Pelodiscus sinensis: one gene and its partner. The protein of the gene in region 1 purifies or fractionates together with the protein of each later gene. This does not show direct contact. Links are inferred from orthologs where the notes say so. Each region holds a gene or a part of one and is shown in the gene's direction. Other genes may lie near its edges.

Region 1 (7,918 bases):
ATACACAGAGCAACAACTTCAATGGGAAAGATGGAGTGTATCTTACAGCAGACTGTCCTATAGGGTGATGGTTGGCGGAGACATTAGTTTAAATCTTTTCTCCCCATCAAGAAAAGTGGGGGAATTGTACTTAGCTCTCTCACAAAGGCTAAAAGTTTTAAGGTGGGCACCTCCTCTGACCAGGTTTTGAATGGGACCTTTTGGTACGTGGCCTCTGAGTATGCCTACCAGATCAGGCCCCACATGAGACAGATGGCTAAATGCCCCATCTCTGCAGGCTGTGAATCACTCTGGGGTTAGGCAGGAGGGAGGCAGTAGAGTGAAAGCTCAAAAGCACAAACTTGGGTGCAGCAAGAACTATTACCCTGAAAACATAGCTGTTGAGTGAGTTTAGACACTGCCAGGCTACAGTGGGAGTTTTGTGGATCACAGTGGAGCATAAAACTGGAAGCAAGGGTTCTGAACCTAGGCACCTGAGTACCTTTATTTATCCTGGTTTCATTGACTAATAATAGCACTCACAGATCCTTTCCTGAGGTAACATCTCATATCTTCTGCAGGTAAAGCTGTGGCAGGTATTACAGCCCCATGTAGCATCTTTGGGACCAGTGTATTAACTGTAAGAATGGTTTTTACACCACTGTGTTCTACTGCATGGGGGAAGGTTATCGCAGCTCCTCCAGGAAATAAAACTGGGGTGTGGGGAGTGGTGATTACCTGTGGGGATTGTAAACAACTCCAGAGGAGCTCCCTCTCTCCCACCAGGGTGTTTGCATTTGCTGGTTCCGGTTGGTTTTTCCAGAGACTCAGGCAGAGAAAAGGCTTTTGGTATAAAAGGGCTAAGTTTGAACTGGCTGAGGGTCTTCTTTCTGATCCAGCAAACAGGACCTACTGTTAAGGGCAGGAGCAGTTGTTATAGAATGGTTGGAAAGACTTTGGTCTATTAGGGGCCCATCAGACTGGAGAGTGACTCCTAGCATGTTTTGTGAGTATTTAAGTCTGTTTTATTTTTTGTAATGCTTTTACCTAGGGAATAAATGTGCTTATGTAGAAAAAGCTGAACGGTCACTTGTAACTTCTGGCAATGCACTGGCGATAGCCTGCAGAGAGAAAACAACACACAGGCACTGGCCATTAGACTGGCTTGCTGAAGATATCACAGCATGAGACAGGGGGCTGTGGAGCCTCTAAACCCCTGGTCAGAAAAGACTGACCCAAGGACTCTACCCAAAGACTAGTGATGGCTGGAGATTTGAGACCTGACAGGATACTCTTGCAGCGAGCCAGCAAGAGGCAAGACACATGTAGTTACCCCGGAACTGTGATGGAACATTCATCTCCTTCCCGTCACCCACTGAAATGATCTATACTGGAGACAGTCTTAAGAATTACATGGTGTGTGCATTTCAGGATTTTTATTGCTGCTGTCCTCCTGCCTTCAGCTGGAGAGAGTCCCTTTAATAAAAGGAACTCATTAGTAACCAATAATGTGTGCTGGCAACACGATCAGATTCCCAGACTTTGTGCAAAGTGTGGTTGCTTCCGAAGATAACTCAATAGTGTTCTTGAACCAGCTGCAGCTTTAACTGGATGGCCTGTACCCTACTGTCACTAATCCCATCTGCAGCATGTACAACTCAGTCATTTATTGTGCAGTTGTTAATTCTTAGTAAAAACAGGTCTAACTCTTGACTGTCTCTTTCACAGCTGTATAAAACCCAACCAGATTAGAATTTTCTATTCACTTACCCAGCTGGGAGCATTTTATACTCATTCAGTTCAGGTATAGATGGCTAGGCAAGTCAAAAGAGAATCGATGTGGGATTCTTTATATAAAAAAAAAAAAACAAAAAAAAACTAATGGGTATTAGAGATGTAAATGTGTAGTCTACTACACAATTAGCCAGTAAGCCTGGGCTTATTGGTTAATCTTAATGACTCATACACTCCCTTCCTCTTGCTGCCTCTGGATCAGAGGCAGCAAGGGGGCCGGGAGGCAGGAGCCACTGCACATGGGGAGCCGGCTTTTGAGCTGACTCCCCACAAGCACCTGATCTTGTGGAGCTGCCTGTCCCCTGCCTTCCCACACTACTGCCTCTGATAGAGAGGCAGCAGTGTGGAGGGTGAGGTGGGCAGGCAGGAGCCAGCACATGTGGGGAGCCAGCTTTCAAGCTGGGTCTCTGCACATGCCAGCTTCGTGAAGCCACTTGCCCGCCATGCTGCTGCCTCTATCAGAGGCAGCAACATGGGAGAGGGGGCAGGGGACGCTGCCATGGAGCAGCCTCTGTCTGTGGCGGGCCCAGGCTTACCACAGAGGCTGCTTCGTGGGATGCCGGTGCAGCTTCTATCCACAGGGAGCTCGCCCCCCCCCCCCAGAGAGAAGCTGCTGCCATCCTGCGCTGCTGCTTCTGTCTCAGAGGCAGCAGCGGGGGGTGGCAGGTGGGAGCTAATCTGTGTCTGGAGCTGGTTTTTTAAACCACTCATGGACTGGCTCCAGCCTGCCACCCCACGCTGCTGCCTCTGAGACAGAGACAGCAGTGTGGGATGGCAGGGGGCTCCCCAGGAGTGAGGTTGGGAGTGCTAAGTTTTGACAGTGTTACACGATTATTCAATTAATTGATATCCAACATCCCTAATGGGTATTTTAATAATAAACAAAGTACTACATTTCATTGACAGATGGCAAGCAGCTAGAGTGTAATGGCAAAATGTAAGTGGTGATACTGCGACTGCATACAACCTTCATAGATCCTCTTACATATGGAATACAAGGCAGGGTATCTTTCAGCGGGTGGAGATTATTGCCATGCAAAGGAGATTAGTGTTAAGCTGATAGTGCCACTGAAGAATCAATATAATGGAGAGATTCATGAAGTTGGGTTTATTCTGGGTAGAAAAGAGAAGACGTTGGGCTAACCTAATGGAAGGGTTTGCCATTAGGAAAGAAATGGATAGAGCAGAGAGGTCTCTGTTTGGAGAGGGTCAAATGCTGGAGATGTGGAAATGAGGAATCAGGTGTACAGAGGTTCCCTGGGAGTTGTTCAATTTAACTGATAATTGGCATAAGAAATCAGTTCCTGGGAAAGCTCTAAATTATTTGTTTCTAGGTAGTGGATAAGCAGTGTTCTTGGAAAAAGCAGGAAAGCTCAATCAACCTAAATTAAACCAGGACAGGAATATTTGGTTGGATGGCTTTCTCCAGTTCCAGACACCCACTCCCCCCAGTCAGTATTGTGGTGTCTGGCTTTTCACTAGACATGCTGCCAGCCAGAAGAGCAAGCCAAGATGGAACCTGGCAAAGTCATGGTTAGAAAGATTAGTAGCCTTTCCTGCAAAATGGCTTCTGTTTACTATGCAAGGATCTGAGAGGAGGAGGTACAGCTTCCAAACCTATGGCCCACTCATGTCTTCCAGTGAAACTCTACTAAACTCATTGTCTGTGTACTTTCCAGGGAAGGAGGGATCTGGCTTGTAGTCTGGACCATATTGTGCCTTTATTAATCCCTCGGAGGACATAAACTTTCCTGCCTCATCTTGTGCCTTGAAGAGTTCATATCACAATCAATAAAGGGCACTCCTGAAGGGCTCAAGTACCTGGGAGTTATTAATTTGCTGCCAAAGAAGACCATCTAGTACCTTGGGCAGAAGCTTAAGAATATTCTTCCATATTATAAAAACAGCATGAATAGCACAATCCTTAAACCCATTTCTGATAATCAGTGAAAGAATGATCTGGGTTCACAGAGCTCAGATCTTGAGCCATGGCAAATAGAGGAAATTCCCTGTTTGCCACTTGAAACTGCAGTGCAGGATCTAGCAATGCAACTCTGTCAAAGATGGTACAGCAGCGCTGTCCAACAGGGCACACCACCACTCTCTGCTCTAGCACGCAGGCTGAAGAATATTGGATCCCGACTCTGCTGAAACTGAAAGGGGCATTTAAGAAGGCAGAGTGTAACTGTCCACAGTGGAATCTGACCAGATGTGGGGACTGAATGTCCCTGCAAGAATAACGGAACTCTTAAGACCACAAGGTTAAGACTTTGGGTTCATGTCTCAGGCAGCTGAAAGCCAGCATGTCCAGCTGCCAAGCATCCCCTATTGTCATGCTGGGCGTGTGCTCAGGCAGCATTGACTCAGAGTGTGCCTCACTGACTGCACAGCTGCATGCCAAAAGTACCTAAGGCAGAGGCATGCCATTGGTAACCAGGTCAGATCAGTAGCTTATTTGACATTAGCTTAGTTCTCTTCTTTTCAGTGGGGCCAACAGACCAGGAGAGACAGAGTCTTTTGCTCTGCAAGCTGTTCACATGGGATGGTTTCAGGTAAATGTGTTGTGGCCTGTTTGAAATGGATCCCAGGCACCATCTCTCCAGCTGATTGTTACCTGACATGAATGTTGTGCCACTCAAGTCCCACGGCACCATCCAACACCCCTAAATGCAGAGCTAACCCCCCACTCGCTCTTCTCTGCCATCAACCCTTAGCCCTCAGGGCCCCTGAAACACCAGAACTAAAATAAAACCTCCTACCGCAGCCGCTGGCCAGAGGCACTTGGGGAGCAAGTTACAGAAACTGGAGATGGAGAAGCTGCGTTAGATCTCCCCCCTACACACGTTCCCGCCACAGATGCCACCGTGCCAATGCGCGGCTGGCCCGGGGCCTGGAGACGGACGGGCCCATCTGCGGCCGCTGTGGAAGAAAGGGCATTAGGACCCTGAGGATCTCGCTCCTTTTTTTTTCGCTCTGCAGGACTGAGCAGTGAGACCAGAGCTAAAACAAACAGCTGTGGCTGTAAGAGCCGGCCAGAGAGCGCGCGAGAGAGAATCCCATCACCGCTCCCCCAGCAGCCTCCCCCCACCTCCCTTGCACAGAGTCCTGCTGAGCCTTTGCTCCTCTGACCCCCTGGAAACCTCCTCTCCAGGCTCCCAGGCGCCACTGGGGCTTTCGGGATGAGGCGGATCAGGGCTAATGCCATTGCGATCCTGACGGTCGCCTGGATCCTGGGCACTTTCTATTACTTATGGCAGGACAACAAGCCTCATTCAGCAGCATCCAGCAGATCCCCCGGCAGCGGCAGGAGCGGGCAGAGATCAGCTGCGCGGCTGGAGAGCCGCAGGGAAGATGGGACCATCCCCCTCATTGTGAGTGAGACGCGCCGGGAGAGCGGCTTACATTTTAATTCGCCAGCCCCTGTCCTTGCAGAGAAATTGCGTGGCGTGGTGGTGCCGCTGCCGCTGCCGCGTGAGGTGTTGGCAGGAGCATTCATCCCGTTTGTCGGAGATCGGTGGGGTTGGTGAATGAATGGGGGGCGGTGGGTCCGTTAGAGGGAGGTGTGCCATTTGCATGGGTGTCTTTATGTTTGTTTTAGCCCTCAGGCGTGTCACCATGGCAGCGTTTCCAATTGGGGAGCACCATCCAAAGGCTTGGAGAAACAGACTCCTGCTGAACGTGAAGTGTTTGCAGTCCCGTCCACTGGATGGCCAGGGTCTGTTCCTCTTTGGATGGGAGCTGCATTTCCTTTCTGGATGGACGAAAGGGGTGGCTGAAACAGCCGGGAAGGCATGTTGGTTTGTCTCAGAGGGGTAGCCCCTGTAAAAACAACAAGGAGTCCAGTGGTACCTTAGAGACTAACAGATTTACTTGGGCATCGGCTTCTGTGGGTAAAGCCCACTTCATCAGATTGTCCATTGCATCTGACAAAGTGGGTTTTACTCACAAAAGCTTATGCCCAATTACATCTGTTGGTTTGTGTTCAAGCTGCATGTTTTAAGTAAGGCCAGAAGGGTCTGCATTTGCAGAAAACAGTTTCTTGGGTCCTGGGCTACATGATCGTGCTGGGGAAGGATTGTGGGAGTTGGGAGAATAATGTTGCAACACCCACACTGCCATGTGGCGGGTTTGGTGGTCTCAGCTGCATCATCCCTTAGTTGTTGTACATCCTAACAGAAGACCAGAGCGCAGGATGTGAGCTTGGAAGTTAAAACTGAATTAAGCCAGAGGAAGCTCTCTGCTGGTAGATTTCAGTTGATCTCAGAGGAAGACAGGAGGAGTAGGGAGCCTTTGTTTATCCCTGCTTGTATCCAGACTGGCTCCCTGCTTCCCACCTATTTGATTTCTGACTCTCATTTGAAAGGCACTGTGACAAAAAGACCTGCCCTCCACTTTTCCTGGGGATGTGCAGGGGTTTGGCAGTGGGGTCAAATAGAGTTTCTGCTCTCCCTGTATTAGGGGAGAGAACAACTATTCAGCTCTATCAATTGGAGAAGGTTTTTTCCTCTTTCAGGCTGCAAGGTAATAATAAAAAAGCCCACTATTTATTGTAAGAAATAATGCAAGTAACCAAATAAAAAACTCTTTGAGCCCATTCTCAGTGGTAACCTGGGCAAGACCACTTCAAAATTGGAAGATGCGTTATTGTTTGCATTTGTCTATGAATGATCTGATTACACAGACATTGGAAGGAACAGAAGCACCATGGTCTAATAGAGCAGGAATCTAGGCACCAGGATTCTTGGCTTTTCTTAATGGCTTGCTTTGTAACTTTGGACAATATCTCAGTTACTCCCATATGAGAAAAATCATATGTACTTAGCTGCCTCATGGAGGGGTTGTGTAGCTTCATGACTTCAGGTTTGCAGAGCCTCTTGAAATCCTCGGCAGGAAGATTCTGTAGAAGTGCCAAGTATTATTATATTACTAGTGTGTGTATGAGTTCATGCTGATAGACATACACAAATTGTGTGATGATAAGCTGTAGTAGTTTGAGTCATTATTGTTAAACTAAGGCATTATTAGTGGAGTACCATAGAATATTTTTGTCGTTAAAAATAGGAATGGATCAGTCTAACTGGGACTTCCATCCCAATCCCATTAATACAGAGGGGTAATACAGACTCTGCCTCCACTTTCCCCTCTGTAATTGAGATGATAGGATTTGCTGTTATACTGGTCTATCCCATATTCTTGTCTGCAATAGTGGCCAATAGGTAATGGGAGAGAGGAAGGTGAAACCCCCCTGTAATGCAACTGATTGGCAGTACAGTGCTGTACATGCAATACTCCTTCCTGAACCTGGCAACAATCCATTTCTACAAGGAAGCAGGAGAATGGAAGCAGTTGGATCTTCTAAGTGACCACATGTCTCAAATATTTACCAGTGTTGTTTGGGTCCTTAAGGAGAGGTCAGGGCTGGGAGCTGTGGGTTTGAGTGCAGGAGTTAGGGTTGGAGGTGAGGAGGGGCTCAAGGGCAGGGATTGGGATTGTGATTGTGTGTGTGTGTGTGTGTGTGTGTGTGTGTGTGAGGCTGAAGCCCCACCTAAGATTAGTATAAGGGCTCCTTGCTCTTCCCCTTCCAGAGCAAAGTGCACATCTCATCTGCCCCCTGTGTTCCCCAGCCAGTGTGAGGAATGCAACAAACTGCACTTTCTCCTCACTCCCTGACAAAGGGGAACAGCCACCAATGTCCTTGTAAGAATCTGGTGTGGAGGAGAGCGTTAGCCTCCCCACCCTCCCTATGGGGCTCCTGGAGGTTGGGAAGCTTAGGGCTATAGTAGTCCCGAGGGGGGGACAGTCGGATCCTTTCACCTGCCTGGTGATTCCGTCTCTTTTCTGTATGGTTTTATGAGAAGCAATCCCATTCCAGGCACATCCTGTTTTCCTGGAACAACCAACCCCTTACCTGCCTTTAAGTTATGATGAAAGGAAGCTGCATAATGAATTTGGTGGTCCTTGATTTTACCATTTAGGAGGACTTCTAGAACAAACAGACAGAAAAGCTCTCTCAAATATATAATAGATATACAGTGTACTTTCCAAAATACTCTGCTTCTGTGAGTCCAGCCAATCAAATGCTGTATTCTTGCTGATGTGAGCTCCTGCAGTGGCATTACTCTTGATTTGGCACCACAGTGAGAGA
Region 2 (8,275 bases), on another chromosome or scaffold:
GCACGTGCTTGGCAGGTTCCTTCCTTCTATGATAAATCTGACAGCACCAGGCCCGATGTCTACACGCCGTGTGACTTTCTTAGTGGCAGCTTCTCTCTGTTGCCCGATGCTTTATTCAGTGCCCCTGAGCTCCATCACACCTTCTCCTCCTTCCGCGCTGAGTGGAGTGCACAAAGATTTGCTGTAATTAGACTCACAGATCTATGGGCTGTTGAAATACATTTAACCTACCTGCTCGCGGACAAGCTGACCTGCGTACAAACCAAACCCCCGTCCCAAAACCAAACAAAAATGACCGATTAGCAGCTACATGGCTGATTCAAATGGTTTTTGGCTAGCAAGGGTGCACAGCGGCTAGCAGTGTTCGGGCGGAAACGGGGGGATGTCAAAGCTTTCTAAGCTCTTTTAGGACCTGTGAAGATGTAAGGCTGATGTCTAACCCAGCATCAGAGCAGATCCTATCAATCGGTGGGGATGCTAGTTCAGAGTACATGGGCTGTTCTGAATTTGCCCGCCCCTGCAGCCCGTTCTATACGCAAAGTCAAAATCCCGTGGGGACCATTAGAACAACGGGTGAATAAGTACTCAGGGTGTCCCCTGAGGGGACCGCTACAGGCGGAGGAATCAAGAGGGGGTCGTACAGTCCGATCCAGTTGCCTTGCTGATTTTGTGAGCAGTAAAACCGGTGGGAGAAATGCACAGGAGGGGGCGTCTGACAGCGAAGACGACTGGCTTCCAAAAAATAGAGACACCCAAAACTTAAAGGCCGCGTTGGCACATTTGGCCAGAATGTCTTTGCCAACTGGGGCTCCGCCTGTTGGCGAGCTGGTTTGACAGTAGCTCAGCTGGTCGTATTGTTCAGACTTTTCTGTGCTGGTTTTCTCCCTTGATGAAGTTACACTGGGGAACTGACATGCGGTGAAATCCTGGCCTCCCTGGGAAACAACAGAAAGTTGCCACTGATTCTGTTAGGGCCAATATTTCGCTCTGGCCGTTTGAACTCTTGGATGGTCTAGCTGGAAAGAACGAGCCATCCTGGAACACCATAGAGACTAACACAAAGTAGGTAGTATCACGAGCTTTTGTGGGCAAAACCCACTTCTTCAGAGGAGCTGGAAAGGGATAACACAAATGTATAGAATTTATAACACAAAGAAGGGGGAAATAGGTACCTGTCATTGTAGGACCGGGGCTAATGAGGCTAATTAAGTGGGCTGGAAGTGTCCCATACTTTGATTTGATGTGAAAATGAGGAGTGAAAGGCAGGGGAGACTGGCTTTATTATGCAACATCCAGTTAATATCTTTGTTCAAGCCCAGGGAAATAGTGTCAAATTTGCAGATGAATTCTGCTCTGTCTCTGTAACTGGGAGGTGAAATTCCTTTGGAGGAGCATGGCTACTTTTAAATCCATGACTGATTGACCAGGCAGGTTGACATGTTCCCCGTCAGGTTTGTGGGTGTTGCCATTCCTGATGTCCGATGTGTGTCCATTTATCCTTTGGCGCAGAGACTGTCCGGTTTGGCCAATAGTCATGGCAGAAAGGCCTTGTTGGCACTTGATGGCAAACATCACATTAGAGGAGGTGCAGATGTTGTGACTGATGTGGCATCTGGAAAGTTAAGGTGACCAGACAGTGAAAATTTGGGCTGTGGTGTGTGTGTGGGTGGAGGGGATAATAGGTGCCTATATGAGATAAAGCCCCAGATATCAGGACTGTCCTGATAAAATCAGGACATCTGCTCACTCTAGTTTTCTCATTGTGGGCTTCGCTTTTCTTTGTACTACTCTAGCGCCGGCCAAGGCCAAAGCACAACAAGCTTTCAGGGGAAGTTGCCAGCTGGAAACAGAAGTGTTTTCCTTTTATCAACATCATGAATGCTCTGGATTCTCCTCTTGTTTTCTCATCAGGGGCCCCGAGTTGCTGTTTTCCTTTGGTGTCATTGAGACTGGGGCCCATTGTGTGTTGCAGGCTCCCTATTAATTAACAAAAGCGGCGAGGAGTTCTGTGGCACCTTAGGGTGTGTCTAGACTACAGGGTTTTGTCGACAAAAGTGGACTTTTGTCGGCAAAACTATACCTGTGTCCACACTGCCTTTGAGTTATGTCGACATAACGTCGACAAAACTCAGCAGTTTTGTCGACGTATGTAAACCTCATTCTACGAGGAATAACGCCTTTTGTTGACAGAGTTCTGTCGATAGAAGGCATTATTGCATCTACACTGTCCTTTGCGTCCACACTGTTATGTCGACAAAGCAGCTTGCTTTGTCGACAGAACTGGCTGCAGTCTAGATGCTTTTTGTTGACAGAAGCTTTGTTGACTGTATCTGTTGACAAAACTTCTGTCGACAAAACCCTGTAGTCTAGACATACCCATAGAGACTAACTGAAGTGTAGGAGCATAAGCTTTCTTGGGCAAAGACCCACTTCGTCAGATGCATCTTATGCTCCTACACTTCAGTTAGTCTCTAAGGTGCCACAGGACTCCTCGCCGCTTTTGCAGATTCAGACTAACACGGCCACCCCTCTGATCCTTAATTAACAGAGTATCGCTTGGCATTAGCCAGCACATTTCTTGAGCGTTTAGCCGCTTGGCTCCCCATGGGGGTAACGGTTTGCATTTCGGACAAACATTACCAATGCTGGGAAGGAGAGTTGATGCTACTCTCACGATGCATGGCATTATGGCGTAGGTTTCAAAAACCAAAGCGACAGTGACACCAGTGTGGCAAAGCTGGGGAAATCTCACATGCTTTGCAGGAAACTGGAGCAGACTCTGGATTCAGACCTGTGTTGTGTCAACAACACAAAGCGGAGGAGGGTTCTCTCCCTTTGGGACAAGATACCGCTGGTGTTTGGGAAAAGATACTTTTCTCTTCTGCGACAGCTGTCTCCGGAGGAGCGTAACACGTCGTGCAAGAACTAACAAAGCCTTAGGCCTGCTCCTCCCAAGAAGCAGATCGGGATTATTGTGTCTGGCGGATGGGGAGACAGACCTAGAGGGCGGAGTCGGGGTAATAGCCCAAGAACTCGCACCAATGCTTGGCCATGACTGGCCGTTGCTGGAGATGGGACACCAGACAGGACAGATGGGGGCTCCGAGCTGGTACAAAACTCCTCTGTCTCTGATGCCTGGCTGATGTGTCGTGCTCACATGCCTAGGGTCACAGTGTCTGCACACTGCGTCCCCCAAGGGGGTGGGAGGAGGATATGTGTCAACATCGCAGTTACAACCGGGGGGTGATCTCAGACCTCACCCATCCCATGGTCCTAGGTCTAGGGCAAAGGCACCAGACCCATCGTCCAAGGCAGCATGGCCTAATAGCTAGAGTCAACGAACAGCTCTTCACTACAGGGCAGTGTAGCCTAATAGCCAGTACCAAAAGGGCCACCAACAGGGAAGGTCTAGTGGCCCATTATAGAAGGGCTTGGGCCCACCTGACTCCACTACTCCCTGGCAGTGGCTGATCAGTCCACCACTGGCTCAGCGGGGAATCTCACCGAAACAGCAGGTGGGAGATACCATTTGCGGCCCCTCCCTGGATCATTTCTTATGGTACTCTGTGGCGTGGCTGCCCACGAAGCTTCGGGATCTTCAGGTTCCTCAACATCAGTCACTCCTTGGTGCTCCATCAGCTGTGGCGGCTTATTTCGGTCCTCGGGGCTCCTACCTCCTCCCACAAGCTCTGTGGCTTATTCTCAGCTGAAGCTCCCGCCTCAAGTCCTTCCTCTCCAGCATCCACTCCAGACGGAGCTGAGTTGCTTCCTTTTATATTGGCCCAGCACTTCGAGCATGCCCAGTACGGCTGGGGAGGGGGCGGGACTTCCTCTGTACCCTCCCCCCCCCGGCCTAGTGTGGGGTGTGCACACCGGACCCAACCCGTTTGGTGTCAGGGAGGAATTTTCCGCACGTCAGATTGGCTGTGACATTGGGATTTTTCCCGCAGCGCGGGGTGTAGTCAGGAGTGGTCCGAGGCAGGCTGCGGCAGCTGGCGCCCCAGGCGGAACGCACAATTAGCGCCCCCGCCTGCACAGCTGTCAATGGAGTGATGTCATCATCGGGCGCCCCGGGTGCCCCGTGATGTCATCATTGGGTGCCGTTGAAGGCGACGGCCGAGTCGGCCTATAGTCACAGGCTGCCCCTGGGTGTAGTTCACCAGCTGGGAGCATGTCTCACCTAATCAGCTCCCTGGCATTGCAGGGGCCCTGGGCGTTTGGGGGCAGGCTGGTCTCTTCTGCTTTCAGCCTACGGCAGGCAGCCGAGCCTCCAGAGGGATGGAAAGCTTTAGTCTCAGCTAGTGGTGGCCAACCTTTTTAAGCACAAGGTCATAAAAACATCAGAACGGCCAGACTGGGTCAGACCCAAGGTCCATCCACCCCAGTACCCACAGTGTCCAATGCCAGGTGCCCCAGAGAGAGGGAACAGAACAGGGAATGATCAAGCCATCTCTCTCCTGCCATCCATCTCCACCCTCTGACAAACAGAGGCTAGGGACACCAGTCCTTACCCATCCTGCCTAATAGCCATTAATGGCCTTAACCTCCATGAATTTACCTAGTTCTCTTTTAAACCCTGTTATAGTCCTTCACAACCTCCTCAGGCAAGGAGTTCCACAGGTTGACTGCGCTGTGAGAAGAACTTCCTTTTATTCATTTTAAACCTGCTGCCCATTACTTTCATTTGGTCCCTTTTTGAATGTAAGCGCAACCCAGGATCTAGCTCAGACCCAAACGCCCTGGGCTCGCCTCCTTCCCCGACCCTTTTACCAAGGCCCTGCCCCTGTCCAAACCCACCTCCGCACTGTGGCAGGTAGGGACACTGACTGGAGAGGGAGGGTTTCTGGAAGAGCGGAGCAGTGAAACTAGCAAATGGAATGTGCTCCCCTGGAGCAGAGCTTACCGGCGCGCTGGCCTGTTGCTGGGTATGGAAATCCCTATGCAGGCAGGGTGCGTCTCAGCCAGGCCTGCTGCTCCCCTTCTGCTGTGACTGGCCGGTCGGGTGGTCCCTTCCGTGGCTCTCGCTGCTCTTGCCCTTGTTAATTATTGACAGCAGAAATGCTGGGTCATCGCTCTGAGATTCTTGTTTATGCAGGAGGGATTGATCCACAGAGATTCCAAGTTTCCCCTTTTCCCTCCCACACCGGGTCCCAGGCCTGGCCTGGCCGGGCAGGACGGAGCCTGCCCGTCAGAACGAGGGCGAAGAGGGACAAGGGGTACAAGCCACGTCACCAGGCTGGATTGCCTCCCTCATGGCAGGAAGAAGCTTTATCCCCAGCCAGTCTCATCCCTGCAGCCTCAACATGGAGAGTGAGCCAGGAGCCAAGGGGCCGAGCCTTTCGGGCTCTCAAGGGCTTGTCTCAGAGGGAGGTAAGACACATCTGGCTTCCCATGTAAACCTGAGCAAAACACTTCCATGTTAATGACGCGATTCTGGTTTACACCAGCAGAGAATCTGGCTCTTAGTTGCCCCGTGCCTCAGTTTCCCCATAAAACAGCATCTTTCACAATGGCCCTGGATCTTGGCTGGGGCCTCTAAAGTGCTATTGTACTGCGCACAATAATCCTCCCAGCAGGAGAAGGTAATTCTAGCAATGACTCGCGAACAGCAGCGTACCGGGTGAGCAGGGCTCTGCCCTGGAGCTAAACTCGTACACGTCTCTAATGCAGGTGTGTGTACGCGGCTTTAACCTTTCCCCCTCTTGCCTTCACACGTGTTGGCAGCTGCCTAGTGGCCCTGAGAGGTGCGCCTGTTTACCTGCGTCAGAGTGTGTCTAGGCCACATTCCTCTTTCGAAAAAGGAATGCAAATGAGGGAAATCGAAAATGCAAATGAAGCGCTGATTTACAAATCTCGCGCTTCATTTGAATAATCTCGTCTGATCGCTTTTTCGGAAGAGATTTAAAAAAAAACAATTTAGACATGGTTCTTTCAAAAACTACCACTTTTTCAAAAGAACTCTGTAAACCTCATTTTTTCAGGAATAAGGATTCTTTTGAAAGAGGTTTGTTTTTTTAAAGAATCCCGTCTAAACTAGTTTTTTTTTTTGGGAAAAAAATCTCTTCTGAAAAAGCGATTGGACGAGATTATGCAAATGAAGCACGAGATTTGTAAATCAGCGCTTCATTTGCATTTTCGATTTCCTTCATTTGCATTCCTCTTTTGAAAGAGGAATGTAGTCTACATGCACCCTAAGAGATTTGTACCAATTTAACTAAACCGTTTCGCCAAAGCCCTGTCGCTTTCTAGCACAGCCAAGCCCAAGCCAGGGGCTGATGCCGTAACGGGGAGTAATGAAGCAGGGACTGAGGTTCTATAGACACTGAGTTCCTCACATCATCAAGGGCTCATCCACCTGCACGTCCACTAATGTGATATGTGCCAGCAATGCCTCTCTGCCATGTCTGTTGGCCAGACTGGACAGCCTCTGCCGAAAAATGATAACACCCTGAAACCTATAGGGGGACATTCAGTAGTGGATATGAAGATAGCCATCCTTCTACAAAAGAATTTCAGAAACTGCTTACAAAGGGAGACGGCTGACCTAGAATTCCTTTGCAAATTCAAGACTATCAAGTTAGGATTGAATAGGGATCTTAACTGCTTAACGCAGTACAAAGGCAATTTCCCCCTCTTTTGATATCCACGTTTCCACATCAGTGCTGTGAGTGAGCCACTTCCACCCTGCCTTGATTAGCCTCATTTATACAAGCACCCCCTTTCTTTTCTTGTCTGTATCTATCCCCCTGCCTCTGTAAACTCCACTTCAGTTCATCTGAGGAAGTGGGTTTTATCCGTGAAAGCTGATGCTCTAATAAATCTGCTAAGGTGCCAAAGGACTCCTCGTTGTTTTTGCAGCTTTCTCCATGTTCTCCCAGTAGAAGAGTTTTATGGGGAATGTGGGGGCCCCTCCCCAGCATCCTCTCTTGCCCAACTGGCACACTCAGCTGGCCCTGCCATGCCAGCCGCATGCTAGTGCAGATAAAGCTACTGCTGGTAATGATGACTGTATCATTTCATCTCTCACGAATGCCTAGTCGTGTGCTGCCCTCTCTGTCTCCTGTAACCGGATTGCTGTCTGCACGTCCTCCTCCTCTCCGTCTATAGCTCAGACGCAGCTCTGCTTTGCCTTCCGCTGCACTCGAGAGCTCCCTTTAGCAGCATACCCCGGCTTCGGTTCAATTTGCAACATAATTGTGTTGGCCACGTGGTTCCAGCTAGTCAATTATGCCACTGATTGGGACAGGAACAACTTTGCATTTGCTTCTCTGCCTGATAGACAGGCCTGGTTCGCGAGCGTCGCACCCCGCACACAGCAGAATTAATGTGTTATTGAGCCTGTAACATACAAACCGTGGGATCACTTACGTTAGTTCTCCGAAAATAGCTTTTCTTAGGGCCAGGTTCTGATCGCAGGGACTCAGGCATCTGTCTGGAGCAGCTCCCTTGATCCATGGCTGTAGGGTTACTCTGGATTTACACCAGTGCACATGAGCTGGGAATCGAATCGGCCCCTTTGTTTGGACATAAAGTCCAAGGTGGAGAAAAATGGCATGGAAAAGCTAAACACCCAGCCTGAAATGTAATAAAGCACCTCTTGGCCTGAGGCTATTTTCCATGCCAGGAGAAAGGCAGAGTTATGTTAATTTTAATCAGAGCTATTGTTAAAGGCGCCGTGCAGGTCCCCAGCTTGGCTACTGGAAAGGTGAGCTGCAATTTTAATCCTCTCCTTATAGTTAGGGAAAAGGTTTTGTGGTTTCTTTGTGTGACATGCCAGTTAGAGCTAGACACAACACAGAGATAGGGGTTCAAGCCCTTTCCCACCCATCTCTCTGCTGAGTCCTCTCATTCCTGCCTCTCCCCAGCACACCCTCCCATTCCGGTCTTGGACTCTACATCCAGGGCTCCTCAGTCCAACCCCCAGTCTCCCTTACAGTACGGTCTGGCAGTGGCCTCTGTAAACTGTGTGCTCGTGCGCTTGTCCCTTACTAATCTGCTAGAGTTCTTTGTGGGGGTCAACAAACATGTGGACAAGGGGGATATAGTGCACTTAGATTTCCAGAAAGCCTTTGACAAGGTCCCTCACCAAAGGCTCTTAAGTAAAGTAAGTTGTCATGGGATAAGAGGGAAGGTCTTCTCATGGATTGATAACTCATTAAAAGACAGGAGACAAAGGGTAGGAATAAATGGTCAGTTTTCAGAGTGGAGAGAGGTAACTAGTGGGGTCCCCCAAAGTCTGTCCTATTTAGTCCTATTCAACTTATTTATAAATGAT

The links. The genes of interacting proteins can lie anywhere in the genome.
Region 2: the proteins of GALNT16 (region 1) and SLC39A11 purify together in Homo sapiens (co-immunoprecipitation; 3 studies listed by BioGRID and IntAct, counting the BioPlex papers as one, with this or other methods). This does not show direct contact. The link is inferred for Pelodiscus sinensis from reciprocal best matches to the Homo sapiens genes GALNT16 and SLC39A11.

The regions. Positions count from the first base shown.
Region 1 is NC_134714.1:71,017,183-71,025,100, reverse strand, and holds the start of GALNT16 (polypeptide N-acetylgalactosaminyltransferase 16), read left to right. Parts: upstream 1-4,565; 5' UTR 4,566-4,952; coding exon 4,953-5,144; intron 5,145-7,918. UniProt on the Homo sapiens protein: Catalyzes the initial reaction in O-linked oligosaccharide biosynthesis, the transfer of an N-acetyl-D-galactosamine residue to a serine or threonine residue on the protein receptor.
Region 2 is NC_134730.1:26,554,158-26,562,432, reverse strand, and holds the start of SLC39A11 (zinc transporter ZIP11), read left to right. Parts: upstream 1-5,181; 5' UTR 5,182-5,370; intron 5,371-7,368; exon of another isoform or gene 7,369-7,495; intron 7,496-8,275. UniProt on the Homo sapiens protein: Zinc importer that regulates cytosolic zinc concentrations either via zinc influx from the extracellular compartment or efflux from intracellular organelles such as Golgi apparatus. May transport copper ions as well.